4 linked regions of the Canis lupus familiaris genome follow. The protein of the gene in region 3 purifies or fractionates together with the protein of the main gene of each other region. This does not show direct contact. Links are inferred from orthologs where the notes say so. Each region holds a gene or a part of one and is shown on either strand. Other genes may lie near its edges.

What was found.
Region 1: the proteins of VPS50 (region 3) and VPS51 purify together in Homo sapiens (affinity purification with mass spectrometry; 7 studies listed by BioGRID and IntAct, counting the BioPlex papers as one, with this or other methods). This does not show direct contact. The link is inferred for Canis lupus familiaris from reciprocal best matches to the Homo sapiens genes VPS50 and VPS51.
Region 2: the proteins of VPS50 (region 3) and EIPR1 purify together in Homo sapiens (affinity purification with mass spectrometry; 4 studies listed by BioGRID and IntAct, counting the BioPlex papers as one, with this or other methods). This does not show direct contact. The link is inferred for Canis lupus familiaris from reciprocal best matches to the Homo sapiens genes VPS50 and EIPR1.
Region 4: the proteins of VPS50 (region 3) and VPS52 purify together in Homo sapiens (affinity purification with mass spectrometry; 4 studies listed by BioGRID and IntAct, counting the BioPlex papers as one, with this or other methods). This does not show direct contact. The link is inferred for Canis lupus familiaris from reciprocal best matches to the Homo sapiens genes VPS50 and VPS52.

What each region holds. Positions count from the first base shown.
Region 1 is NC_049239.1:52,586,984-52,593,863, forward strand, and holds the end of VPS51 (vacuolar protein sorting-associated protein 51 homolog), read right to left. Parts: intron 6,815-6,880; coding exon 6,595-6,814; intron 6,441-6,594; coding exon 5,723-6,440; intron 5,370-5,722; coding exon 5,154-5,369; intron 4,955-5,153; coding exon 4,736-4,954; intron 4,313-4,735; coding exon 4,191-4,312; intron 4,098-4,190; coding exon 4,010-4,097; intron 3,209-4,009; coding exon 2,948-3,208; 3' UTR 2,818-2,947; downstream 1-2,817. Other genes in the region: delta(14)-sterol reductase TM7SF2, read right to left, coding at 1,008-1,111, 1,191-1,385, 1,742-1,796, 1,903-2,099, 2,473-2,524. UniProt on the Homo sapiens protein: Acts as a component of the GARP complex that is involved in retrograde transport from early and late endosomes to the trans-Golgi network (TGN).
Region 2 is NC_049238.1:1,868,980-1,876,036, reverse strand, and holds the end of EIPR1 (EARP and GARP complex-interacting protein 1), read left to right. Parts: intron 1-514; coding exon 515-682; intron 683-1,996; coding exon 1,997-2,164; intron 2,165-4,081; coding exon 4,082-4,256; 3' UTR 4,257-4,627; downstream 4,628-7,057. UniProt on the Homo sapiens protein: Acts as a component of endosomal retrieval machinery that is involved in protein transport from early endosomes to either recycling endosomes or the trans-Golgi network.
Region 3 is NC_049235.1:18,693,175-18,701,355, reverse strand, and holds the start of VPS50 (syndetin), read right to left. Parts: upstream 5,132-8,181; 5' UTR 5,007-5,131; coding exon 4,974-5,006; intron 1-4,973.
Region 4 is NC_049233.1:2,849,669-2,856,690, reverse strand, and holds the end of VPS52 (vacuolar protein sorting-associated protein 52 homolog), read left to right. Parts: intron 1-2,831; coding exon 2,832-2,943; intron 2,944-3,151; coding exon 3,152-3,270; intron 3,271-3,466; coding exon 3,467-3,613; 3' UTR 3,614-4,119; downstream 4,120-7,022. UniProt on the Homo sapiens protein: Acts as a component of the GARP complex that is involved in retrograde transport from early and late endosomes to the trans-Golgi network (TGN).

The sequences.
Region 1 (6,880 bases), on a different chromosome or scaffold from region 3:
GTTGGCTCTTGCCTTGTCCAGTAATGTTCCTTTGGGGAGAGCAACATAGAAAGCCACTGGACATTTTAGGCTTGAGGATGAAAACAGACCTGGTCTTAAATCTCAGCTCTGCCACTTCGGCAAGTAGCTTACCCTCTCCAAAGACACTTTTCCCCCATCCCATGTGGGAAATGAAAATAATCATGGACCTGCATCACAGAGCTGAGGACTCATTGACATGATGCATGGGCAGCACGAAACATGATGTGTCCAGCACATACTCATGATTAGCCAGAGGCCGCCTCCATTCTGATATCAGTGGGTTTGGTGCTGTCATTAATACGACCACTTCTGATCCTCACAAGAACCTTCACAGGAAGGTCTGATCCCATTTCACACATGGGGAAATCACCTCAGAGGCCAGGATGCAGATCCATGGTGGATACTTGGCTTCCTCTCACCTCTAGTTTCTAGGATGACATGAGCACCTTGCCCAAGAGACCCTTGGGAAATCTTGACCACAGTCCAGCCTGGGTGGTGTTAACCCAAAACCACAGTTGGCATGACATCAAGGCCACTAGTGATGGACAGCTTGCTATGCCCAGTGATCTGTCTCAGGTTCTGCACTGCTAGAACGAGCGGGCAGCATAGCATGAGCTCTCCTGTCCTCAAAATAGATTTTGAGCTGATTTATTTAAAGTTGCACCTGTTCACCTAACTCCCTCCATACTTTTTCTTCCTAGCACTTAGCATCCCCTGCCATGCTATATATATTTTATTTTTGTCTATCTTTCCCAATAGAAAGTAGGTTGAGAACAGATTTTTTTTTTACTATGCTTTCCTGTAACTTTTTTCTCTTTTGTCTCCTTGTACCTAGAGCAGTGCCCAGGGCACAGAGTGGACTCAACAAATATTTGTCGGATGAATGAATGATTAATGGTTTACATCTGTGCAATAGTGCCCTGCCCAAGCACTACTTACTCATCCCACCCCCCTCCTTCTGGCCCATGTAGCCATGCCCAGCATACCCAGCCGATGAGGCCAGGCCGCAGTTCACAGAAATATTTGAAGTCAAAGGACCAGACGCGCGGGTTGAGCTCCCGTCCCAGGAAGAAGTCGTAAATGGGATTGCCTGGAGAATAATGGAGGCTGAAGATTCAAGCGAGCACCCCCATCTACTCCTGTCTGCACCCTCCTGGAACCCCTCTCACCTGAGTTCCCCCCAGGTGCCAGGGCCGAGGCAGGGGCCACCAGGGCCTTCAGATAGAGAAAGAGGCTGAAAATGAAGGTGGTGAAGGTGGCCGCAAATGCCAAGGGCAGGAGCATTTCGGGGAGCGCCCCCAGAGGCAGACCTGCCAACACTGCCAAGCCCACCAACAGGGCTGTCAGCATCAGGGCCTGGAAGCCTGAATTGCAGTACACAATGAGTCCTGGGGGCTGCGTCCCTACACCTCTGCCCTTCCACTCCACTGCACCCCCCTCCATAACACACACAGTCCAAAGCCCAGGGAGGTCAAGGATCTTGCCCTTGGCTTTCAGTGGGTCACCACTGTTCTGGTGCATAGAGTAGTAGTAAATGCTGTGGGTAGGGATGTAGAAACAAAAGATGTGAAGAGGGAAAGTGAGATCCCCCAAGGCTACCCTGGGCACATAGCGTAAAATAGGCATCTAACGGAGCTTGGGGTTGGGGGCTAATCTCCACTGGGCCCAGACCTCCACCCCCAGCCACGACTCCAGCGAAAGGATCCATCCCCCCAAGCACCGTTAATGGGATAGAGCAGACGACTCTTGTCCTTCAGTTCCTGTCCCTCAGCAACCTGCAGGCACAAAGGGGGTCCGATAAGGGGTGAAAGTGTCTTCGTCTGGCGGAGCCGCCTCCCTCGGCCTGCTCCCCCCCGCGAGCCCCGCGAGCCGAGTCTGCACCTTGCGCGCAGGCAATAGGTAGAGAGCCGCTTGCAGGCCGAGCCAGGTGAGCCACAGCAGTAGCATCCTCGGGCTCCACAGCACTTGGAGTCCCGGCAGGTAGGGGGGTGGGCCCAGGAGGCGCGCGGGGCCCGAGCGGACCACCAAGAGCAGGTGGAACATGGTGGCAGGGAGCAGCAGCATCAGCGCCGCCGCGCCTGGGGGCCGGGGACGATCGCATCGGGCGTCCGCTCCGCAACTGCCCTCCGAACCCCTCACCAGGCGCCCCGTGGTCTCCAGGGCCCCTTCGGCGTTCCCCCTGCCCTCCATGTCCCGGTCTCCGCCCTCAGTCCCTGCCCGGACTTCCATCCTGGCCCCCGCCTCCACGCTCCCCCAAAGACCTTCCTGCTGCTCTCGGTACAATCCTCCACTCAGCGCCTCCCGCCTCACCCCCGATCTCTCGGCCTCGGGAGACCATTCACAGGCTTCCATTCTCAGATCCTGCTCCTCAGTATCCCTCCCCACCCCCGCCGCCTGCGGTTCACCCGCCTTCGCTGAGCCTGACCCCAGATTCCACCCTCTCCCCATTACCCAGGGGTCCCCCGAATTCCAGCGGAGCCCGGGATCCCTGAGGAGAGGCCATGGTTTCCGCTCCACCGGGGGTGGGGGTACACAACAGTCGGTCAAAGAAACACAGTCCACCTCATCCCCCGGGACACGAGCTTGGTGATGCGGATCAGACCAGCACTGGAACCTGCTCGGTCTGAGCTCAGACTACTACCCACTCGATCCGGAGATCTCTAAGTGGACCCACCCCCGGCCCATCATGGGCCCAGCAATCCAGCCAATCGGCTCTGGGGGGTGGGCCTGACGCAGGCACCTCGGGAGCCTCCTCACAACCTCAACCCCAGCAAGCCCCGCCCCTGGGAGCCAGAGGAAGAGAACAACACGTCTTTATTGGCGGGTCTGGAGGCCGGAGGGGAAAGGCCAGCGGGCGGGAGACCAGGGGATGGGGAGGCTGGGGCGACCAACGGCGCAAGCGGGTGCGTGCATGGCAGCGGCTGGCCTAGCCACGCTCGCAGATGACCTCGACAACACTGGGTTCCATGGGCACTGGGTCTGGGCAGCGCAGGGCAGCTGAGGCCACCACTTCATCCAACAGCAGGTGCACAAGCTCCTCGTCCGCCACGAAGCGCCACAGGTAGAGCTGCAGGAAGTGACAGTCCACCTGCACCTGCTGCAAGCCGAAGCGACCAAAGGTGCGCAACCGCACACACTCCAGCAGCGTCTTCAGGCTGATCTTGATGATGCCAGTCAGCACCGAGACCTGTGGGCAAGGAACAGGAATATAGCTCTGGGCCAGCAGGTGCTGGGAGGGGGCACTGGGTCCCTGAAGGCATCCAGTTCTGGGCAGGGGCTACACAGAGAGTAAGAGGCCAGGAGCTGCAATGGGGTGTACAAGTCCCAGGACTCCCATAGATACAATGCTGGCACCATTATCTGGAGAACAGAGGGAGAAGGCCTAACAATCAGAAGCAGAGATGGGAGTCAGCACTGACATAGGGGAGCAGAGAGGCTTGCTGAGTCAGAGACAAAAGAACGCCAGGTCCCAATCGCTTGGGTGGCTAAGTAGTTGAGCTTCTGCCTTGGCTCAAGTTGTGATCCTGGGATCGAGTCCCACATCTGCATTGGGCTCCCTACAGGGAGCCTGCTTCTCCCTCTGCCTATGTCTCTACCTCTCTGTGTGTCTCATGAATAAATAAGTAACAACTAACTTAAAAAAAAAAAAGACCACCAAGTCCTGGCGTATGGGCTGGGTTGGGGCAGAGACTATGGTATGGACAGGAATCCTTGGGGAGGACCCAGGACTACTCTGATGACGAGGACAAGAGCAAAAGAGGCATTCTAGATCTACATCCAGACCCAGGCTGGGAACACACCAAGGTCAGGGCAGAGGGCCATGGCATACGGTGATGGTGGGGTTCCGGCTGACCATTTACTCCTAGAAACAGCCCACAGAGGCAGAGCCTGGGTGAGGACAGAGTCCTAGGCTTCCTGACTCTGTGGGACTGCTTCAGCCAACCTTCTCAAGGGCCCCTGGAAGTTGGTGTCATGGGGGACTTCAGACCTTGTTGAACTCCACGGGGCTGAACACATCAATACGTTCAGAGAACAGTTTCTGGATGTTGCTCAAGAGATTAGTGTCCATTGGGGCACTGGATGGGGGGGGAAGACAAGCAATCAGAACCCACCCTGGACCTCCATCCTCCTTTGTCCATTCCCCCTGGGGTTCCCCTGGCCAGCCAGACCTGGGTGTATAGCTGGGTGCATAGCGGCCCTGCTGGCGAGAGCTGCTATACACAGAGAAGGTCCTTTTGCTGGAGTCACTGCTCTGAGCCTTGCGGACACCCTCTTCATACAGAAGACCCACCTGGTAGTGGAAGAAAGCACTGCAAGGAGGCCAGAGCAAGGGGAGCCTCCAAGCCCATCAGGTGCCCAGGGTGAGGCCCAAGGACATGCTAAATTACAAACCCATTTGTGACAAGAATCACAGGATAGTGGGGACCTGGTAATGGGGACTTGGTACCTGGTCACTATTTATAGGTCTGGTGGAATGGGCAAAGGTGGGACATGAAACTTCGCACTGAGGCCCAAACTTCAGTGCTAGCCCGGCCCTGATTCCCTGGTTGACTCTAGACCTCAGCCTCATTGTAAGTAAAATGGGGGCAACAATGCCTTGAGCCAGGGCTGAGGAGGAACAAGCCACAGGCACTGGTGTCTTGATCCTCCGAGGACTGCTCCCCTCACACCCACAGCCTGCATCAGGACCCCCTGGCCAGCCCGAGGGTAGCACCTGCACGTCAATAGCCGTCGTGTCCTCCACCACCCGCTTCATGACAGCACGCACATTCCGGGGCTCCAGGGTACTGAGCCAGTCCCGTGTCTCGACACTCTTGCGCAGCATCTGTGATATGACCAGGCCCTGCACCTTCACATAGTGGGTCAATAACCGCCGTGCTGTCTCCCTGGCCTCTGCACACAGTGTGCTTACAGGTGTCACTGGAGACTGGTCCTGAGCCAGGGGTGCAGAGGACAGAGAGACAGTGAGTGCTGGAAGGGCCACTGCCAAGCAGGAGCTGGGCACAGGCTGGGCAAGGCAGAGGCTGGGCAGGGCATAAGCAGCTGGCCTGGGTCTGACCATGACAGCTCAGCCCAGCCTCCGGGATTCCCAGTACCACCATCCCCTACCCTGCTATGAGCTAGTGGTTCACCTGCACGAGAAACTGTTCATCGGTGAGGGTGAGGATGTAGGAGATGGTGGCTGTCTCATAGTCCAAGCAAAGGCGGGAGAGTAGCAGGAGCAGAGCAGGCGGTGTGGCACCCCCCTTCTCCCCAGGGCTGTCACAAAAGCTCTGAGCTGTCTGGCACATGGAGCGGATGAAGCCCACGATGAGGCCCTCACGAACACCTTGGCTGCAGAACTCGCCCTGTGAGGAGGAGGGTCACAGATACATAGCAGGTCCCCTCTTCCAGGCATGGGCTGCTAGCCACCCTCTATTTCTAAATGCCCTAGACCCTCTCCAAAGGACAGCTTTATCCTGCATTCCAGGACCCAAGAGCAGCTCCCTTGCTTGGAGGAGGGAGTGCAAAGGAACAAAGCCAGCACTGGGGATCCCACTTGCAGATGCCCTCACAGCCTTCCTCATGACAGCCTGAAACCACATCCAGAGTGCCTGAGCAAGGACTGTGTGCTCTGATAGCTGCCAAACTGTAGGATGAATAAAAGAATGCCCAGGATTAAGGGGGAGGGGGGAATGGGAGGCCCAAAGATAGGTCATACCCGGAAGTAAGGCTTGTTGGAGAAAGACACCTCCTTGGCGGTGAAGAGGTGCACAGCTGCCAGGGAGGCTTTGATGTGGCTCAGGATGGAACTGGCCACATTGGCCAGCAACTCCGCCAGGCCTGGGCCTTCCTTTCCAGCCAGACGAGGTGCAGCCAATGCCTGCCTCACATCGGTCAGGCAACCCAGGAAGGCAGCCCGCAGGCCCTGCAGGTGGTGGCCTAGGCGCTCCCGGGCCACTCGCTCCACAATCTCCGTGGCAGCCTCAGCCAGCCCCGCAGCGGCCAGCAGAGCCCCAGGCGCCCGCAGGCGCCGATGGAAGCGGTCCAGTGCCCGCACCAGCAGCGAGTTGTCCCCGCTACCCTGCTCCTGAGCCAGCCGCCGCTCTACTAGCGCAAAGTAGCGGCCACCCAGCTCCTGGGCGAAGGCTGTGAGCTTCTCGGCACCCGCCGCGCCCTGGGCTGCAAACAGCTCCTGGTAGGCAGAGGCCACTTGGCAGAGGCCACCCACGAAGCCACTTCCCCCGTGATCGGTGAACTCTAAGACGTCGGGAGCGGGAGGGGAGGGCCCCAGCTCTGCCTCCAGGCTCCGCAGCTCGGCCTCCAGCCGCCCTCTGGCGTTGGCCAGGAACTCGTCACACAACTCCTCCGCAGGCTCGCCTAGGGCCAGCAGCAGCTCCACGCACTCTGCCTGCTCTGGGGCTCCAGAGCCGCCCTCCCTGAAAGGTGGAGGTGGCGGTGAAGGGAAGGCCCACAGACTTCTGGGTGGGGGTGGGGGTGGGGGTGGGGGCGGGGGCGGGGGTGGGGAGTGGGGCAGACAGCAGACTGGCAGGCCCAGGACCCCGGCGGGGTGGGTGAGGGCCGGGGCCACACCTGAAGCGCTGCCGCAGCTGCTGAGCCAGGCGAGCCGTGATCACCTGGCAGTCGTCCTGGATGGCGCGGAAGGAGGGCAGGTGCTGGTACTGCTGCAGCACGGCCCGCGCGCGGCCCTGGTAGCGCACCGCCTGCCCGTAGGCGCCCAGCTCCACACACTTGGTGAGGCACGAGGGCAGCTCGAAGAGGAACTGCAGCTTCCGCAGCAGCGCGTGGACCCCTGGGGGATGGAGGCAGGTGGTGAGGGCCCCAGGGCCCGGGGTGGCCAGCTCCGGCCCCTGCTTCC
Region 2 (7,057 bases), on a different chromosome or scaffold from region 3:
CCCAGCCATGACACACGCCGTCTCCGTCGTTGGTTCTGATTGCTTTTCCAGTGTTTTCTTCCTTCCCTCTGTCCACGTCTCCCGACACCAGCAGCACTGTACTCCTGGCCTGCCACCGACCTTCTGCTTCCCTCTCTCCGTGTTCTAGAACTCGGTCAGCTCTCTCGAGTCTGTCCCCAGCCCTCATGGCTGTCACAGTCCCGCCGACTTGCTCTCTTCTCGAAGTGCCAAGTCACGTCTGTGACAGCCATGAAGCAGCATTGCCTCTGCAGCTTGCAGGGATCACAGGTGTGCTCCTGGAGAAGCCTGGGCCCTGGGAGAGGCACGGGGGTGGAAGGTAGCAGGCCCCCCGGCACCCACCATCAAACCCAGGAGCCTCAGCCTGCACGGCCGTGGCCCAACTCGCAGTCCCCCGAGGCCGGCGTGCCCTGGGGAACGGGAGTTGGGCCAGTCCGTGGGTGGAGTTGTCCTGACCGCTGCACGTCCTGTGCGTGCCTCTCGCTCTCTCCCGCAGCCAGATATACTGCATAGAGAACGCCCACGGGCAGCTGGTGCGGGACCTGGACTTCAACCCCAACAAGCAGTACTACCTAGCCAGCTGCGGGGACGACTGCAAGGTCAAGTTCTGGGACACCCGAAATGTCACCGAGCCCGTCAAGACCCTGGAGGAGCACTCCCACTGGTACGGACTTCTTTGCATGCTGGTCCAGGGTAGGGGGGTCTTAGAATTTATTTTGCTAATTCCTTTCCCATTTGGAAAGGCACAGACCAGCTTAGTTTGTGCTGCTGTGAATCATTCAATCAACCCAGTTTTATTTTTCCTAAAGAAACACTAATCCCAAATCCGAATGTTTATGATTTATAAACATAGGAAAAGAAGAAAAAACATTGCATCCTGTGTTCTCTTGAAATAGTACCAGTTCTAATATGCACACGCAGCGTGCACAGATGTTCAGGAGGCATTGTTTGCCAGGCTGGGGAGCTGGAGAGCGCCCTGATGCGCGTTGGTAGCGGACGGGTTAAGTCAGGCTGTGATACCCACGCCGTGAGGAGGAGATGGGGACAGCTCTGCGGGGGCGGACGGTGCCCGAGAGCCGTCCTTGCTCACTATTTCGTGTTTACCATGTGCCAGGTACTTGGTGCTGAGTTAGTGAGGGGTCTGCTCCAGACCTGCGTGCCCGTACAGGCTAGCTTTCTTTCCAGTGAGACGTGTGTGTGTGTGTAAGTGCAGGCTTGTGTGCACGTGTGCTTGTGAGGGCGTGAGCATGCTGGTTTGTGCGTGGGCGTGTGTCCCTGTTCTTATGTGCATGTGAACACGTGTGTGTGTAAGAAAGTCCTAGAGGAGTAGGAACTGAAGTACCGTCAGGAGCGCTTGCTCAGGCCAGGGTGGGCACCTCACAGGACAGGTGACTTCTTCGGGTCTGTGTCCCTGATTTCTTTGAATTACTTACCAGAAACCATGTTGTTTCTGGGATCGGGACATTTAAAAACCCGGCCTGCCAGGGTACGGTTCTGCCCAAGTCGGTAGGTTTCTGCGATTGCCGCAGCCCGAGGAGAGGCGCCTGCACCCCCACCCCCGCCCCCACCCCCGGGCCTCCGCTCAGCTCGCTGCGCTCCCTGGGAGTGTGTGCGGTGGCCCAAACCCAGAGCGCACCCCGGCCCCGCGGCAGCTGGTGCTGGAAGTCGCCCTGGGGTTTGGCTCCATGCGCTGGGTCCTCTCTAATGTGTCCTTTGCTTCTGGGGCAGTTGTTGCCGTTAGGACTTCGGAAAGCCCAGGGGGCGTTTTGAGCAGCAGGCCCTCCTCCCCCTGTGAGGTTTGCACGTCCGCTTGCTCTCGTGTCTGGGTGCCGGGCCTTAAAGGAAGGCTGGAGAGGAGCACGCAGTGGGCCTGGCCCTCTGCTGGGAACGTCCTCGTGTCAGGGCAGGCCCGGCCAGCCCGAGGGTGCCCCGTCCAGGAAGGCCCGCCTGCCGCTGGAACTGCCTCCTTGCCTCCCAGGGTGTGGAACGTCCGCTACAACCACTCGCACGACCAGCTTGTGCTCACGGGCAGCAGCGACAGCAGAGTCATCCTGACCAACATGGTGTCCATCTCCTCCGAGCCCTTCGGCCACCTGGTGGACGACGATGACCTGAGTGACCAGGAGGAGCGCCGTCCGGAGGAGAAGTAAGGGCGCGTGCTCCTGGCGGAGGGGGCTCCTCCTCCTACCTCGCGGTCCAGGTGGCTCTCGCCAGAAGCGGTCCGGATGGGGGTCAGGGGGCCCTGGTTCTGGGGACGTCGGCACCGCGGCGGGGGCATGGGGGTTGCATTAGGGGAGCTCACGCTGTGTTGCGTCGACCCACTCAGTGTCTGTCCACTCTCGTCGGACGCCGTACGGGAGAGGGGAGGGGCGGTCACTCGTGGTTAGATGTGCCCTTCGGTGGCAGTGAGGGCTTGGTAGTCCCTGGAGCGACAGGTCATCGTCGACACCCTCTCCGTGGGCTTGGGTCTGAGACGTGTGCTTCCGTCGTTGGCCGGCGGCCCTCCCCGTGGCGGGGCACGGACTCCAGGTGAGCACCTTCGGCCCCAGCCCATTGCAGCCTGAGGTTCCTCAGGGAACGTGGGAGACCTCGGTGCGTGTCCCAGCAGTCGCGCCTCTTGGACGCGCGGTCTCCCATCGCAGCTGCGTCTGCTCGGGGGCTAGCTCTTCAGCCGGTGTGCGCCCCCGAGACCGCTGGATTCCTGGGGGCCCGCTCCTGGTTGGTGCAGAGCCGGGGTGCCCCAGGCCAGGCGCGACGGAGTGTGGCTGTGGCTCCTGGGCGCCGGGGCGAGGGGGGGCAGCCGTGTCGTCTGTCAGCGACATGGAAGGGGACTGTTGTGTTCTGAGTAGACGCCTGCTGGTGAGGGGGAGCTGCGTGCAGCGGGGTCAGCCCCGGGTGGGGGAACGGTTGAAGCCGACAGGCAGCAGGCCTCCCCCATCCGTTCTGAGGTTCTTCCCCCACCTCAGCTGAGCCCCGCTTCACTTTTGAGAAGACATCTCTGTCCTCGTTTGGTTTCCGTTCAAGCACGTGGATCTGCAGTCTGGGAACACGGTTGCGGCCGTCTTGGTGCAAACACCTGCCGACCGCCGTGCCGTCGGGGTCATGGGCTCTGGCTCCTCGCCGGGGGGCAGCTGGCGCCGTGTGGCCCAGGGGTGCTGCCCTCCACACAGGTGGCCTCAGGGACGCGCCTGAGGTGGGGAGGCTGGCAGGTGCGGTGACACCCCCGTGTCCCCATGGTCCTGCTCCCATGGTCTGTCCGCGTGACCTGCCAAACTCCGGAGAACGAATCCTCAAGAGGATCCTCACGTGGTGTCTGTAACGCAGCCCCAGTGGGCACGGCGGGTCCACGTCGCGGGAGGAGGTCGATGGCACGCAGAGCTGGACACGGAGGGGCCTGCGCAGGGTCCGGGAGCACAGAGTGGGGACCGAGTAGATGCTTTCTGTGAGACGGGAACAAAGTGCCACGGGGAGAAATGGCTCCTGCCCTCGGGGTGGGTCTTGGTGTGGCCGCTCGGGGGACAGCCTGTGATGGCCCGTCAGTGCCCAGGGGCCAGGTCTGCGCTCCTCCCATCATGCGCGGTGTCACATGTGATGCACCATCGGGTCAGGGTTCCTGGGGAAGGAGCGCGGTCACTCCAGTTTAAAGGGAGGTGACACGGGAGTCCCGGCCGAGCACGCTACGAAGCCTGAGGCCAGGCCCAGGAGCCCCTTCCTGCCCCGCCGGCGGGACCCGCTGTCCTGGGGTCACGCTGGCCGTCCCCAGGGCCCTTTCTGCTTCTCGTCACTCTTTATTCAGCCCTCGTGGGTGTTTGTGGTCACCACCCCCTGCCCCCCGAACCTCGGCGTCCCCGGGAGGTTCCCGACGCCTGCTCTTCACCCCTACGCCGCGGTGGAGGCCCGTGCCCCGCGGCCCTGTGAGCGTCTGTGTGCAGGTGCCGGAGCAGCCTGGCGGCCCAGCGCGCCTGCCCTGGTTCCTCCCATCGCCCGCCCGGTGCGGGGAGTGAGGCCCCGGCCCCTGCAGGCCGCCCCCGCCTCGCTCACGCGTGTCTCTGGTGCCTTGCAGGAGTCAGGAGCCGCCGCAGGACAGCGTCATCGCCACCTACGAGGAGCACGAGGACAGCGTGTATGCCGTGGACTGGTCCTCCGCCGACCCCTGGCTGTTTGCCTCCCTGAGTTACGACGGGAGGCTCGTCATCAACAGGGTGCCCCGGGCGCTCAAGTATCACATACTGCTCTAGGCCCGTCCTGATGCACCTCCTGGCAGGTCCCTGAACACGTGCAGCTCTTTGGAGGTCGCTTTCCAGCGGGTCCCTGTGGGGAGAACCAGGTCGCCTGCCTCTCAGGCGGGCGGGTGGGCGTTAACACCAGGGCGCTCCTGCCGACTGCACAGCCCACCCTGTGCAACGTCACCCCTCCCGGAGGCGGGCACCGTCCTCACCTGTGCCGGGCGTGAGCCGCCCTTCCCGGCGTCCACGTCTTCCTGGCTTCGGCTTTCTCTAATCTGTTTAAGGGTGTTGGGAGTTTCATTAGAAAGAAAAAAATCTTTGTTTATATAACATTAACTCATTTTTCTCTTGAGATTGAAAATAAAACAAGCAAGGCTGTGCTACACGGAGTCCTGGCTCGTTCTTTCAAGACTCTGCCCCACGCACCTTGTCGCCTGGTCTCTGTGCATGTTCCGTGTCCCCGCCCAGAGGGGCGCTGACGGGCAGACGGGCCCCTGCACCCTGCATCCTGGGCTGACCCGACTATGCGCGGACCTCGGCAGTGACCAGGTGGCCCGTCAGCCTGGGCACCCAGTCCCGCGTGCTGCTCCCTACTGGGTCCTGCTCATGTTATGCCGATGGCATTGGACTCTTGTCCCTGGGAGCTGCATCCACGCGTCCGGTCACCCAGCAGCACGCTCCCACTCGGGAAATCCCACGTCGAGGTGTGACCCCCACTGCCAGGTGACCCTGAACCCAGCACATGGACTCTAGCCTGGGCCTCCTCTGTGGGCCCAGGGGAAGTGGGGGGAGGAGGACAGGTGGGCCAGAGGGAGGAGGGGGGAGGGGAGGACAGGTGAGCCCCCGGGGGGAGGGGAGGGGGAAGGGAGGTGGGCCCCAGGGGGAGGGGAGGACACGTGGGTCAGAGGGAGGGGGGAGGGGAGGTGGGCCCTGCGGGGAGGGGAGCGTGCTTCGCCTGGCTCAGGCACTTGGTGCATGGGCATCTCAGACGAAGCCCACAAGCTTTCCCTGGGTCGCTGTGTTCTGAGTGTGCCCCGGTCGGCGGGAGGGAGGGCCGAGGGACAGATGCAGCTTCCGGGGGGGGGGACAAGAAGCACCCACGAGCTGCCCGTAGCACCTGGAACGCTCTGGGAGGAAATGTGCAGATCGGGGCAGCGCGGCTCCTGTGCTCCCTGGACTCAGGCCCCGCCGTCCCGTGGGCCGAGTGTGTTGCTAGTGCACAGGACATGTGGGCAGCGGCACGTGTGCGCTGTTAGTACCTCGGGCTCTGGGGAGTTGACCCAGGAGGCTGCCGCGTGAGCCGTGGAGCCGCAGGCCCAGCTGTGGGGCAGGCACCCTGGGTGGGCCGATCACACTCACGACGGCCGGGGCTATGACACGCGGTGGCTCCGTGGTCCCCGGACCCAGGGCGCCTCCGGGCTGTTGTGAGTGTGCTCGGCCCACCCAGGGTGCCCGCCCCAGTCCACTCTGTGTGTCCACTGCTGCCCCAGGCACCACCACCCAGCCCGTCCCGCTTGGGCCTTTGTGTGCAACGGGGGAGGAGCCAGCGACCCGGAGCTCTGCCAGCTGTGTGCGGCCCTGCACCTTAGCCCGGCCCGGTCGCCCAGTTAGCGCAGCCAGGGCCGCCGCCTCTCGGGCCCCCCTGGGCCTGACCGCCGCAGGGTGTGCGGGTGGCCACCTTGTCCTGGTCACCGCAGAGGAGCCGCAGGTCAGGTTTGCGTGGAAGCGGCGGTGCGCATGCACGTGTTTCTGTCCGGGAGACACCCCGGCCGTGGGAAGCGCTCATGTGTTTCACGCTTTGTCACACCGAGCAGGACAGCTGCGGGGCCGCGAGCGCATGGGGGGGCGTCCCTGGTGCAGCCCACCCGCGGGTCCAGGCACAAGCCGGCCACACCCCTGGGCTCACCCCGTCGCCAACTCCAGAATGCCTCTGGGTGACCTTGCAGCGGTCCCCGCCTCCCCAGCCTGGGAGCACCCTGTGCACGGGGCGGGCGTCAGCCTCGGGGACCCATCTGTCGCCCACCCCCTGAGCATCGCACGGTGCCTGGAATGGGACGGCTGAGCACGGGCCGGGGTTGGGCCCCTGGATGAGCGGGAGCCTGCGGGTCATGGCCTCTGTGGGGACACACGGGGAGGGGGACGGCATAGGAGGCCCCCAGCCGGGGCCACACTCAGTCGAGCCTTCACTCCGCTCCTGCTTCCCACAGGCCTGGTGCTCCGGCTCTGCGGCCTGACCTGGGCGGCAGCCTCAGGCCCGCTCAGCGGGTGTCCTGCTCCAGGCACCTCTGAGCACAGACAGACGGGCACCAAGCTGTGGTCAGGCAGGGGACGTCCTCCGGGCGCCGGTCCCCATGGGGCTGGGCGCCCAGCAGAGCGGTGTCCTTGTGGCTGCGCCCTGCCTCCCGGGGGACCAGCGTGTCGGGGCAGGATGACGGAGTGACACCGGCCGGGCCGGGGCGGGCAGTACTGGGCATCGTCGTGAGCTCGCTGCCCACCCACTGTGGACACGTGAGAAACCCGCGTGCAAGATGTGGGGAAGCGAGGGTGTGCAGGGCTGACTCTGCGGGGTGACGCGCGAGTCTCCCTGTGCGGGCGCCTGGGGGCAGGGGCATCCTGGGCCACCCCCACCCGGTCCTCTGCTGGCGGGCTCACCGGGCCTCTGTGACTCTGTGACACGGCCTAGACCTGCTGCCGCCTGCCGGGCCCGGGACCCAGACAGAGGCCCTGAGCTTGTCCGTGCCACAGGGGCGCGGAGTTCAGGGCGTGTCCACCCTGGTGAACAGCAGAGTGTGCTTTGCTGCAGCTGAGCCCCC
Region 3 (8,181 bases):
GGGCTCTGCGGTCTTGAACAACTTTTCTAACTTACCTGTCTTTATGTTCTAATCAATGTAACAATAATGCAGAGGCCAATAATAAGGAGTAAAGGAGATAATGTGTGTGAGAGGCCAAAAACAGTGTCTGGAACATGGCAAGCATTCCTTACATGTTAGCCATTATTCTGAATATTACTATGATCTCACAGAGAAATGTTTTTCTTTTATCAAAACAGAAATGAAGAATTACATAAATGTCTCAGAGCACATCTGACACTCACGTGTATTTTAGGATTATACATCTTGAATCCTTTGATTAGCAACTTTATAAATTTCTATTGACAAAAATGAAGTCATGATTTTTATCCTCACTTTTCTAAAGCAGGAAGTCAGAGTTGTAACAAAAGCAGTACCTGGCTTTTATGAAATTGAAACTGCCTCTGTAATCTTTAACCATTATTTGATTTTCTTTTGCATTTGGTATTTGTTTTGATAAATTTCCCCCATTTAAATTTATACAAAATTCAGCATACATAATACTTGCCTCTGCACTTTATTTCTTTGGCCAAAGCAGATTAACACTTCAGACTACTTCTGTTACATCTACATCAATCTTCTATTTCCATTTACGAGACCAGCAACTTAATGTCCCAAAGATCAAAAATCAAGTGAGGTGATTTCTTCCTCCTCTTTTCAGTAAAATTCAACATAGCGGTTATACTTAGTCCTCAATTCCTCTCAAACCCACTCTAAACAGGCCTTCCTCCCCATCACTTCATGAAAAGTGCTGTTGTCAGGTACCTGATAACCTCTATGCTGCTCAGTCCAAAGGCTCATCCTCATCTTCTGTCATTCATCTTCAGCATTTAGCACAGATGATCACTCCCTCCTCTTTTAAATTCTTTACTTGGCTTCTGGACTTCACTCTACTTAGTTGTTCTCTTTATCCACCATGTATCCAACAAATATTTATTGAGGATCTGATATGGGACAGGTGAGGTGGTCTTTGAGATGGCTGCAGTTTTACCCCACTGGCTGCTCCTCAATCTGCCTCACTAGATCCACCTTAACCTGCCTCTTCCCCTTATCTTTTTTTTAAGATTTTATTTATTTGTTCATGAGAGACAGAGAGAGGGAGAGGCAGAGACATAGGCAGAGGGAGAAGGAGGCTCCATGCAGAGAGCCCGATGTGGGACTTGATCCCAGGACCACGGGATCATACCTGACCTGAAGGCAGACGCTTAACCACTGAGCAACCCAGGCATTCCTTCCCCTCATCTTTCAACATTGAAATCTCAAAAGCTCCAACTTTGGACTCCTGTTTTATAACTACACTCATTCCATTGGTGATCTTAGCCAGTTCTACACCGTATATGCATTCATAAGTCCCAAATTTTTATCTATATCCCTGCGTTTGTCCTCAGAAATTCAGACTCTTAGCCAAGTGCCTACTTTATCTTGTCACTTAAATATTCAAAAGAGGCTTTCAAATGAGCAAGTCTAAAACCTTTCTGCATTCCCTGAATCTGTTCCTTCCTCAATCTTACCCACTTCATTAAATGGCAATTCCAATTGCTGAGGCCAAGCCATCTGGAATCAACCTTGATGCTTCTCCTTCTCTCACAGCCCAAGTCCGATTTGTCAAGAAATCATGTTAACTCTATATCTACAGTGTACCCACCATCAATCTCTTCTCAACCCTTCTACCACTAACACTCTGTTAAGGCCCATACTGTCTCTCATTTGGATTACTGCAATAGCATCCTTATTGTTCTCCCTGTTTTTGCTCTTTTTCCCTCTTCAATCTATTCTTTTAAAAGGCCAGAAAGATCTTTCTGAAGTCCATATACGTAAAATGACATCAATCCTCTGCTTGCTATTTCAATCAAAATAGAAGCATGGCTTTGCTTTTAGAAAAAGTAATAGGAGATGAGGTCAAGATGAGGTCCTAGGTGATCTTGCTTCCTGCCCTTAGCTCTCTGACCTCATCCAGACCTCATCTCCTACTGTTTTCACTCGCTTTATGTCAGCCACACTGGCCTCTGGATGTTGCTCAGCCATGCTCCTGCCTGAAGGCCTCTGCATTTGCTCTTCCTTTCACCCAGAATGCTTCTTCACAAATAACCACATGGTTCACTTCCTCATGTCCTTTGGGTTTTTAACTCAAACGTCACCTTCTCAATGAGGCCTTTCATGGCCACACTATCTAAAATTATAAGTGATCCCAAACTGCCAACTCCCAGGCCTCCCTATCCTCTATTCCTCCCAAACATTAATCACTACGTCTGCCTGAGCACTTGTCTGTTTTGTTCACTGCTGCACCCCCAAACTTAGAATGGTGCCTGTCACATAGTGATCCGTAAACATTTGTTGAATGAATTGAAAGAACAGAGGCCAGCATAATAGAGAAAGCTGAACAACAGACCTCATCTAAATAAAGAGTGCTAACAAAACCCACCCTCTCACTCTTTTCCAAACCCAAGATCCTTACAGCTGAAATGCCAAAATACCTAAGTTTCATAGACCCTTCATATCTCTTCACTTTAATGATACTATCAATATATTCTTTAGCCTCACAAAAAAGAAACATCTTTGTGTATATTTATTTGTAATACTACTATATTTAACCCAATGATAAACAGTACTAATTAAAAATCTCCAGTGTAACTCCAGGCAGCACCCTACTTTCATATCTCAAAGATTCATGAAATGTGTATTAGTTATGATTAAATATGTGGAAGTCAAGTCATAAATAATAAGGGTGACTCTTAAAATCTGTGTAGGAAAACAATAAAATAAAATAAAATCTGTGTAGGGCCGTCTGGGTGGCTCAGTCAGTTAAGTGCCCAACTCTTTGTTTCAGCTCAGGTCATGATCTTGGAATCCTGAGAACAAGCCCGATGTCAGGCTCTGCACTCAGCATGGAGTCTACTTGAGATTCTTTCCCTCTTCTTCTGTTTTGCCCCCTGCCTGCGCTCTTGCTCTCGCATGCTCTCTCTCTAAATAAATAAATAAAATCTTTTCAAAAATCTGTATAAAACTCCTAATTTTACCTCACATTTTACACAGTATAGTTCCAGCTTTTTGTATGTGTTCTTTAGTTTTTTTTCTATACCAATTAAGCAATGATTTGACCCGCTCAAGTCCAATAAGCAACGGATTGAGGCTGAAGAGTCACCATTTTCACAACAATTCCACTACATTTAGAAGATAAAAACGTATTATCACTGGTATCTGGACTTGTGTATTTTTTCTTACTGTTCATTATCACAAAATAAGGTTAAAAACAACAAAACACCAAAGTTGCTGTACAGTGATGATTACACAGAAATGCATAGTGTGCAACATGAGAGAAGACCAAACTTTACTGTTGTACAAAAGTCCAAATTCAGCATTCTAAAGTCAGGTTAGGGGGTAGTAGTGGTAAAATGTTCAAAAGTGTATATTGTTTTAAAAATCAAAAAGATGCCCCTCCAAATCAAACAGATACCAAAAGTCAGTCTGAAATCATCTATTGTTGTTACTGCAACAGCCTGTTTCCAGCTTTCCTGCTTTCCAGCATCCGCACAGCTGCTGAGATGACCTCTGTGATCAAGCACTTCCTTGATAAGACCCAGAAGATATGTTAACTCCTATTTCTCTTAATCTTCATCATATTATATGAACATCACCACCAGGCTGAACCCATGAGATACATGTTGTTATTCCTATTTTAAAGATGTGAAAACAAAAGCTCTAAAAAGTCTGGTGACTTCCTCAAGGTCACATAGCTACTGCAAAATGAAGCAGGACCCAAATATTCTCAAGTAATAAGTGGTATGAACCGTACATAACACCAGTACTCAACAAATGTGAGGGATCGCCACTTACTGAAATACTTTATTATTCATAGATCTGTAAAATTTTATTTTCATGACATTAACAATATCATTTAAAAGGTGTAAAACAATCATGTAGGACTCATGTATTCTTCACAAGATATCTACCATTTGTAACCTATTCAGATTACCTTTCAAATAAGAGTTTAATTTGGAATTTGTAATCTCCTTCTAATCAACAACAACAAAACTCGCAAATGAACCTTTCACTAAATGACTACTCTCCATATTCTCCAGAGTTCTCAAAATTCTCTGATTCAAAACTTTACATTCTACTTCTCTCATATAAAGATAATAAAGAATGGCCAATTCTGGTGAAATATTAGGGTTGAATAAATAATTGACTTCTAAAACCAACTCATAACCAATAAGAATGTAAAAGGAAATTCTGCCTTTTCTTCCTTGAAGGAAACTGAGACATTATTTGAAGTCCCTAACATATATGAATAATTAAACAAAAACAGCCAAAGCTTTTATTCATGAATTATCATTGTGACAATAAAAAAATAAAAAATAAAAGGCCACTATTTTGCCATAACAAAGATTTTTTAAAGTATCATTTCACATACATTAACTTACTTGTGACTGTCAGAACTGTAAGATAAGGTTAACAAGAATAATTATTTCTCATGCTCACATCTGGAAATTTATGCTACAAGGTTTGGGAACTTGCCCAAAGTCATGAAGCTAGCAATTCTGTCTTCAACTCATCCGTTTTTTCCACTCTTTCCAGGTCATCTCTATTACACAGACCTCACCTCCCTACCCAGGCCATCTGCTCACAGACGACACACAGCTTAGATAAAGGGAGGCTTGCAGGGTCTGGGGCTGTCACCGGAAAGATGCCAAAAGGAAAGGAAGGGAGACAAAGATAGCCCTCATTGAAACTCATTCATTGACCTTATCTAAAGGAACGCGACAGCCCGCCTGAGCAGGGCTCCAATCACGGTGGCTCAGGAGAGTTTTCCAGGGTGCCCCCGACTTCCCAGTGCCCCTGACACCTGCCACCAGCCATACCCTAGGTCTCCACCCGCCCCGGCCCAGAAACAGACTATCTAGGCTCCTCCACCAGCAGAGACGAAAGAGGCCTTTGTTTCAGCCTCCGAGACTTACCTGTCGGGTCATAAGAGATTTGATTTTTTGCATGTCGAAATCGTGAAAGTGGTACCCTACAGCAAAGCACTAACAAATCACGCCGAACCACCAGACAGCTGGCCAGGACACAAGGAAGCCATAGTGGGTGGTCACGTGGAGCTGCCAACCCGGGTCATCCTTTCCTGAGCTGAGCATGCTGGGAACTGTAGTCTTCCGGGTGCGACGGACACCGGCAATGAGGCGACGAGGACAGTTCAGGTACTACATTTCCCGAGACGCTTCAGTTAGCTTGCAAATCTTGTTGCTCTGACCACGGCGGCCGCCTGTCTTTACGGAGGTACTTGCTCTTGGTCACCCCGTTTCGGTGAGGCGAAACCCTAGCTCATAGGTGGCCAGGCACTAAGCGACGGAAACAAGCGTTGAAAAGACAGTATGTAAAGCGGACTGACGTGACTTCCCGCTAAGAGTGTAGTGGAGGAAACCCAACCTAGTCTGGGGGGGTGGGGGGGGAGGACGCGAGAACTCTAGGAAAGGCACTGTCTGTCCCAGAAGGGACCTGCGAAGCTGGGACTCTCCGTCTGGCTCTGGACTTCGGCCTGACGAAAGGCGTGGTCTAATAGACAGTCTTGTCCAGGGTTAGGGCTGTTCTTCCTCAGCCTCGGGATCTCTGCAAAAAAAAAAAAAAAAAAAAAAAACCTCTAAAGCCCAAGGATTTAGCCCCCACCTATCGTTTCACTACCTGCCTAACAATAATGATAGTCGTCGTCTACATGCCACTTTGAAGTTCTCATTTCCACTTTTAGCCGTTTAAAGTGAGGAAAGTGATAGGAGAGATGTTCAGAGTTTAATTTAAGAAAGAACTCCCCCTCCCCCCCCCCCCAAAAAAAAAAAAAAAGGAAAGAAAGAACTTCCCAAAGGTGCCTGGCTGGCTCAGTTGGTGGAGCCTGTCACTCTGGATCTCAGGGTTGTGAGTTTCAGTTTCATGTTGGGTGTAGAGATTATTTAAAAAAATAAAACCTCTAGAAAAAAAAGAAAGGACTTTATTTTTTTTTAAGATTTTTTTTTTTAATCTATTCATGAGAAACACAGAGAGAGAGAGAGAGGCAGAGACACAGGCAGAGGGAGAAGCAGGCTCCATGCAGGGAGCCCAACGTGGGACTCGATCCCAGGTCTCCAGGATCGCGCCCCGGGCTGAAAGCGGCGCTAAACCGCTGAGCCACCCGGGCGTCCAGAGGAAGAATTTTCCGATTATGAGACTACTAGGGGACGGAAAGCAATCCAGAGCTAACAACAGGTAGCATTTATGAGCTTACCACATGTCAAGAACTCTGGGGCAGCCTGGGTGGCTCAGCGGTTTAGCACCACCTTCAGCCCAGGGCCTGATCCTGGAGACCCGGAATCGAGTCCCACGTCGGGCTCCCTGCATGGAGCCTGCTTCTCCTTCTGCCAAAAAGAAGTCTGCTAATAGCTTTACATATATTACCCTATTTATCCACATAAACATTCTATAGGGTTATACAATTATCCCCAATTTATTTTCTCTCTCTCTGCACTTAACCTTCATTTTAAAGATGAGGAAACTAAGTAATGGAGAAACTAACTTGCCTAACATTACTGCAGACATGCAAACAGAAACTGAAGGACTGATTATCCAGATGTTGTTTTAAGTAAGAGTTTCATGTATGGTTTTGAAGAGTGAGTCCTGAAGTACCAATAATTTTTTTGAATTTACATTTAATTAATGTTTATTAGAAAGCCCATGATTTTAAAAATTTTCGTAGGACAACTGAAAAAGTGTTAAAGTGTGCCAAAGTAATCAAAAATATTAGGTAAACAATAATGAGTGGTAGTAAGATATAGCAAAATAATAAAAGTGGTTTGCAAATGACTGAAATTTGGAAGCCACAATATAGAGGTTATTTCCAATTCTGAAATTCTGTCATTTGACCTCTGAGTTGTCGTTTGTCTTTGTCTCATTTTTTACAAATGAGGTTGTAATATTTGACCTAAGATTTTTGTAAGGATAAATGAGGTGATGTAGGTGAATGCAATTTATAAATTGTTAAGCACCTTACAATTATGAAGAATTATAGTCACAAATCTGCCCAGTTCACTGCTCCAACAGAATCATTTTGTACATACTTGTATCATTGGGCTTAACAATTGCTTTTGAAATTATGTTTGCCTATATGCTTCTCTGTTATTTCTAAGCCCATAAAAATTCCAGGCACTTTTGGGCAACCCTGGTTTAGTTCATTCCTTACCTACACTAGTCTTTATTGCCAGGCAGTTCTTATTAAGTGAAAATATTCAATATTTAGAAGTCCCTGAAGGGCCACCTGGGTGGCTCAGTTAAGCATGGGGACTCTTGGTTATGGCTCAGGTCATGATGGCAGGGTCATGGGGTCAAGCCCTATGTCAGGCTTCTCAATCAGTGCGGAGTGTGCTTGAGATTCTTTCCTCCTCCCTCTCTCTCTCCCTCTCTGCTGCTCTCTCATAAATAAATAAATAATAATAATAAATAAATAAATAAATAAATAAATAAAATCAATCTTTAAAATAATAAGTCCCTGAAAGCATCAAAAGAAACAGAAACTGCTGACTATATTAGCATGTAAAATGAAACCCAATTCAGTTTTTGATTGTTAGGCACTAGGCAACACTATATCCTAAGCATTTTAGTTAGTTAACATAGAGTTTTGGTCCTCAAGGAGTTTATAATTTAGTTGAAAAGCATATAATTCTCAAACCTGACCATTCAAATGCACCTGAAGAGAATGCCCTTGTTATTGTTTTCTTTTAGGTTCTTTGTTTCAGATCTTCAGTGATTCTCACAGGCAACCAGCTCTAGCATTTCAAATCCATTCTTAAGAAATAAGAAAATTGATACATGTATGATTTCAAGGTCACACATCTTAAAATCAGAGCTTGAATCAGAACTGCAACCCAGATCCAAACCCAAAATTTCCCCCTCATACAATACATGAAATGACAAGTGACAAAACAAAAATCTTTTTTATTCCATGTATATTTTGTCTTTTTCTATCAGCCTAATTGGGAAAATTAATATTTTATGTGTCTATTTGACACTGAAAATTCAAGAAAGCATTAAAACTTTGTTTTACTCTAATATTCTAAGTTTTAGCTTATTTATTATAACCTAAAAATAAACAATCCAGTCTGCTAAAAGTTCAAATTATAATATTGAAAACATGTAAATCAGTGC
Region 4 (7,022 bases), on a different chromosome or scaffold from region 3:
GGGGCTCAATCCTAGGACCTTCAGATTATGACCTGAGCCAAAGACAGACGCTTAACTGGCTGAGCCACCCAGGCACCCCTAAAGATTTTTTTTTTTTTTTAATATTTTTATTTATTTTTTATTTATTTATGATAGTCACACAGAGAGAGAGAGGCAGAGACATAGGCAGAGGGAGAAGCAGGCTCCATGCACCGGGAGCCTGACGTGGGATTCGATCCCGGGTCTCCAGGGTCGCGCCCTGGGCCAAAGGCAGGCGCTAAACCGCTGCGCCACCCAGGAATCCCCTAAAGATTTTATTTTTAAGCAATCTCTACACCCAACATGGGACTTGAACTCACAATCCCAAGATCAAGAGTCACATGCTCTACTGACTCAACCAGCCAGGCACCCCAATTTTAACTTTTTATTGTGGGAGATTTCAAATGCACATACTAATAGCATAGTGGATCCCCTGGGGTCCTCTCCCAGGGGTCGCACCCCCAAGTACCATCACAGATCTTCAATCAGTAAGTACTTGGGGACAGTTTTATTCCTTTCTATCAGCACCCATTGCTCATCCTTCCGTGCCTGCCCCCCAGTTATTTTTTTTTTAAAGATTTTATTTATTTATTTATTTATTTATTTATTTATTTATTTATTTATTTTTATTTTTATTTATTTATGATAGGCACACAGTGAGAGAGAGAGAGGCAGAGACACAGGCAGAGGGAGAAGCAGGCTCCATGCACCGGGAGCCCGACGTGGGATTTGATCCCGGGTCTCCAGGATCGCGCCCTGGGCCAAAGGCAGGCGCCAAACCGCTGCACCACCCAGGGATCCCCAGATTTTATTTATTTATTCGTGATAGACACACAGAGAGAGAGAGAAAGAGAGAGAGAGGCAGAGACATAGGCAGAGGGAGAAGCAGGCTCCCCACAGGGAGGAGCATGCTCCATGCAGGGAGCCCCATATAGGACTCGATCCTGGAGTCCAGGATCATGCCTGGACCGAAGGCAGGCGCCAAACCGCTGAGCCACCCAGGGATTCCCCCCGGCCCCCGTTATTTTGGATTAAATCTTATACATCATCATTTCATCTGTGTCAGGATGTGTTTTTAAAAACACAATATAGGTAGCCCCAGTGGCTCAGCAGTTTAGCGCCGCCTTCAGCCCAGGGTGTGATCCTGGAGACCTGGGATCGAGTCCCACGTCAGGCTCTTTGCATGGAACCTGCTTCTCCCTCTGCCTGTGTCTCCGCCTCTCTCTTTCTGTGTGTCTCTCATGAATAAATAAAATCTTTAAAAAAAGAAAACCCACAATATATTATCACACTTTAAAAAAATGATCTTAAAAGAGCTAGTGTTCAGATTTTCTCAGTCATAAATGGTTTTTATAGTTCAAATTAACATCCATGTATGGTACATACATATGTCTCTTTGTGATCTATAGAGTGCCCTTCCATCTTTGCTTACCTCCTCTGCAATTTATCTGTGGAAGAAACCAAGTAACTGAGTCATCTGTCATGTTAGAATAACAGAATACAGTCTAGATTTTGCAGATTGCATTCCATGGTATGGCTAGACTTTTTTCTTTTTTTCCATAAATGTGTAGTTAGATGAAAAGTCTTGATCAGTTTGCAGTTAGTTGCCCACCCCCCCCGCCCCCCCCTGCCCCAAGGATAGTTGAGAGCTAGTGGTATGTACTTCCATTGGGGGCACATAATGGTTTCTTGGTTCCTTTTCTGTCAATAGCCATCAGTGATCACTGCCTACATCCATGAACTAGATTTCCATAACCCTCAATGTCTCAAAATTTCCCATCTCATCTGTGCTACATTTTAAGTCATTTCTTCAATTATAAAATTCAATTTGCTGTATCATTCTTCAGGTATTTCTAATCTGCTGTATAACCTGTTGACTTTTTAAAATTAAAGACTTTTAATTTTTAAGTCATCTCTTGAAAGTTTCATTTTGTTTCAAGTCTGTCCATTCCTCATCTTGTTGAGTCGTCATCTTTGTGTCTATATTTTTAATTCTTTGAATGTTTCATACAGAACTCACAACTGCTGTGTATATGACAGTTTTTTTTTAAAGATTTTATTTATTTATTCATAGACACAGAGAGAGAGGCAGAGACACAGGCAGAGGGAGAGGGAGAAGCAGGCTCCATGCCGGGAGCCCGATGTGGGACTCGATCCCAGGTCTCCAGGATCACACCCCAGACTGCAGGCGGCGCCAAACCGCAGTGCCACCAGGGCTGCCCGTATCTGACAGTTCTGATGTTGGCAGTCTTTGGTATACCAGTCTAAGTCCATTGCTTATTGTTTATACTGTTTCTCATGGTAGTTTCCTTTCATATGTGTCTGACGATCTTTGAGTTCATTGCTCTGTCTTAATCAGGGGGAGTCATATGGGCCTAAAATGAGATTGAGGATATTTTTCTGTCAAGAGGATTTGCCTCTGCGTTTACGGTAGGCAAATTACTGAAAGACCTAATCCACCTCGATTTATGTCAGCACCCCTTTGAGGCTCTCACAAGAGGCCCAGGCTCCGCTTCTCCACTTGAGTCTGGCATCAGGCTCAGATTCCAGATAGCAGAGTTGCCATCGCCATTTGTCTTCTGGCAGCCTTGCCTCTCCCAGCTTCCTACCTTTCTGGTTCTGGCTCTGATCCCAATTACTTGTGCTTTGCTCCCCAGTTCAAGTTTAGTGTTTTGGGACCATTGGTGTCTTAAAGTATGTAATTTGCTCTGGCAATATTCTGAGGATCTAGTCATTCATGATGCCAGAAGTGGGAAAATGTCTTGATACCAGGACATTTGACTATGTGTATGTGTGTGTGCTTATTTCTACAGGAATTCATTGAAGAGTTGTTGTCTCCCCCTTTTGGGGGTCTGGTGGCATTTGTGAAGGAAGCCGAGGCTTTAATTGAACGTGGACAGGCTGAGCGACTTCGAGGGGAAGAAGGTATGCAGATGATGTGGTCAGGTGGTGGAGTTAATGGTAAGGGGAGTGGAAAAGAAAAATGAGAGGAGGCAGATTCCATGAGGAGGGGGTAGAGCAGGAAAATGAGATTGGATGTGGAAGAGGGCTGTGCCTTGGGGAGGACGTAAGGGTTAAAGATCACCTAGCCAAGTCCTTTTCTGAGACCCTCTCTCTTTGCTCCTGCCATCAGCCCGGGTTACTCAACTGATCCGTGGCTTTGGTAGTTCCTGGAAATCATCAGTGGAGTCTCTGAGTCAGGATGTAATGCGGAGTTTCACCAACTTCAGAAATGGAACCAGTATCATCCAGGTAACTTGCAGCTTCCAGGCCTCCCTTCCCTCCAACCCCTATCATTAGTTGTTTTCTCTGGGCTCAGCATCATCCAGGTGACCCATGACCTTCAACTACCAGCATGCCCAAAGTTCTGGATGAGCCCTAGCCTGATTCCTGATACCATCTCTAGCACCACTCCACAGCCTGATCTTTCATGACTTTCTCTGACCAGGGAGCTTTGACCCAGCTGATCCAGCTCTATCATCGCTTCCACCGGGTACTCTCTCAGCCCCAGCTCCGAGCTCTCCCTGCCCGGGCAGAGCTTATCAACATTCATCACCTTATGGTGGAGCTCAAGAAGCACAAGCCCAACTTTTGATGCGCCAGACCCTGGGATCCACCCGCCTTCTCCATGGACTTCCGTACCCCATCCCAGACTCTTCTTCATCTGGGGTTTCCTTAACAGTTGTCCACCTGCCTCCCAGGTCCTTGACATGCCTCACCCTGCCTCATCAGAATAAGCTGGATCACCTTGTTTTTGGGTTCCCAGGACCACTCCCCCCGGGCTTCCAAAAGCCTTTATCATTTCCCTGATTTCACCACCCCTTCCCCCACACCCAAGTTCTCTTCCCCCAGTAAAATCTTTACTGTTTCAGTCTCAACTCTTGTCACCATGGCCTGAGGTGCAACGCCTCAACTCTTGGAATTGGTGGCAAGGCAAGTCATTGATTTTTTTTTTTCCCCTTTCACTCAGTGATTTCTTTTCTGTAGCTTTTTGACCTAAGATCTCAGCAACTTGAACACTAACAAGACCTCTCCTGGCTTGAGAGTTACTCCAAGGTCAGTCTGCAGAAAACAATAAATATTTAATATGACATAATACTCTTCTCTCATTTCCTTCCTCCTTCTTCCTGGGGCCTTCAAGTGGCCCCCACCTCTGCTCCAGGATCACTTTTTTGTTCTGGCTCTCTCCTGGGCTTATCTCCCTTCTGGTGGGTGTCCAGAAGAAGGGGTACAGATAGTAACTTCTAATCTCTAGCTGCTTCAGGCCAAAGAAGTAGCAGCGTTGGTTTTAGGGAGGGGACTGTGTCGTGAGTAACCAGCCTGGTGGAGGAAGGTGGCCCCTGGTTAAAAATGGCAAATACCTCAAAAAAAAAAAAAAAAGGGCAGATCCCTCAAGGGCTGGGAACACGGTTGTACAGCCTCAGGCACTGTTCCACAGGCTACCTTGATTCCCTAACAGGGGCTTAACTTGCATGGGGGGCTGGAGGGCTGTAGCACTCACACCAGGGCGGGGGTGGGACAGGTTTGCAGCGTGCCTGTTTCATCTATTTCTGTGTTTGCTTCCTACTGCACCCCTACACCTCGTTTGAACTCAGACTCTAGACAGAAGAGACACGGGGGCGCCTTTTTAGTCCTAACGGGAAAGGCGCAGGCAGTCGGGAGAAAATGGTAATTTGGGGATGTTTCCTCTGTTTCCTTCTCCCACATGGCCCGAGCATTGCTTCCCAAGTCCCAGCGAGCTACTGAAGGAAAAAGAATTCCACCCCCGGCGCGGGCTCTCTGGACGCGAGCCGGGCCTGGGGCGGGGTGGAGGAGAGGGTGCCTCTAGGCCGGCGGCGGCGGTGGGGCGGGGCCAGGGCGGTCCCGGCGGGCGGGCTCTTGCGATTGGCTGCCGCGAGGCGGGGGCGTGGCGGGAGGGCGCCTTCCCCCTCCCTCGGGAACCGCGCTGCGACTGGGAGGCCGACCGCCGAGCGGCGTCCTCAGTTTGGGGAGCCTTGGCGCCCGAGGCCGCCGGGTGTCGGGCGGCGGGGGGCATGGGCGGCTCCTGATTGGCCCAGACGCCTCAGGGGCGGGCCGGGGCAGTGTCCTCAGCCGACCCCTCCCGGCGCCGCCGCTCCCTCGGCTCCGGGCGCCCTTCCAGCGTTACCGCGCCTGACTCGGCCCCAGCCGTTCCCCGAGGCCCGCCGCGCTCTAGGCGGAGGTGCGCTGGGCTTCGAGGGCCGCAGCTCGCCCCGGGACCTTCTGTCCTCCTGCCTGCCTCTCCCGCCCACCTACACCCTCCCCTGCTTCTACTTTCAACCTTGGGGGAGCCAGTTCTCCTGTATGACCCGACTCCAGCCTCAGGAGAAGGTTCGCTCAGGGTTTGGGACTCGGGACGGAGGCGGCACGGGCGGCTTTGACAAAGAGCAGTTTCCCAGAGCAAAGGTCTCCGGATCCCCCACGAGGGAGACTACCTCCCAGATAGACGCCTTCGTGGAAAGCCTCTCACGCTCCCGTGGGAGAAGGGCTGCGCTGGCAGGCACTTTGACTTTACTCGGTACAGGCCACTCCTGTCCATTCCCGAATGCAAATAAATATTCAAACAACCGGTAAGCGCGTCATTTTGCAGGGCTGAGGGGCGGTGCCGGAGTCTGAGGAAGCTCTTGATTAGGGAGCCGGAAGGCATTCCCATTTTATTGTAGCTCACAGTGTTTGGGGACATCCATCTCCCCGGGCACCCGGGAGATCTCCAACGGACTCTCAAGGACCCGCGAAGTCGCAATGGGGTGAAAGGGAGCCGCGGTACCCACACAGACCTCCAGGGGGCAGCATCGACCAGGAGATGGAGTTGTTCCGGGCTGCTTGGTCTCGCGGCAGGTGGCTGCGAAGGTTCCCCCAGGGCTCCCATCTCTCTGAAAGGACGGAGAGAGTTTTCCTTCAGCCTAACCACCCACTCCACACCCCCTTTAAGCTGTTTTTAGAAGCATTTAAAAAAATATTTAATTTATTCATGAGAGACACAGAGAGAGGCAGAGACATAGGCAGAGGGAGAAGCAGGCTCCCTGCGGGGAGCCGGATGCAGAATCCTCCATCCCAGGACCCCGGGATCACGCCCTGAGCCGAAGGCAGACAGTTAGCCACTGAGCCACTCAGGTGTCCCTCATGCAGGACTCTTAACCAAGATCCTAAAGGCTCTGTGATTGAGAATTAGAAAAAATTACGTATTATTTTCACGAACCTCTAATGGAAATGTAGCATTTCCTCCAATGAAAAGTGTAGACAACAAACCACAGCAGAATTAGCAGTATCTGTGACTGTCATCAATAGAAATCAGATGCTTTTATATCACATCACCTTCCAGTTGCAGAAATCTTAAAATGTCATGTGTGCTCATCATTGCTTTATAGTTTTGATAGTGGTTAGACCTACACTGAATGTTATTATATATCACACATTTTTAAATTTATTTTTTATTTTTGCTGCTCGGAACTATGCCATCACGTGCAAAATAATCCTCACTTGACATGGCTTCCTATAAGGACTCCCAATCTGGTAGAGGAGATGGACTGTTTATTCACATGGGTCACCTGGGCTGCAGCTTACTGACAGCAAGCAGAGGGAGAGGTTGCTCCAGTGCAGGAGCAAGAGGATGTGTTGTCTGTAGAAAATGTTAAAATAGGGATCCCTGGGTGGTGCAGCGTTTTGGCGCCTGCCTTTGGCCCAGGGCGCGATCCTGGAGACCCGGGATCGAATCCCACATCGAGCTTCTGGTGCATGGAGCCTGCTTCTCCCTCTGCCTGTGTCTCTGCCTCTCTCTCTTTCTCTCTCTGTGACAATCATAAATAAATAAACATTTAAAAAAATTAAAAAAAAAGAAAATGTTAAAATAATACTGAAATTCACTTTTTATTGTTCTCATCATGCACCAACGATTCTATAACAGTGTTAGTGACAAAACACTTCTCTCTGTGGTCCTGCCCTCTTCCACTTCACCTCAGTTGGTATCCCACTGCACACACAGGGGT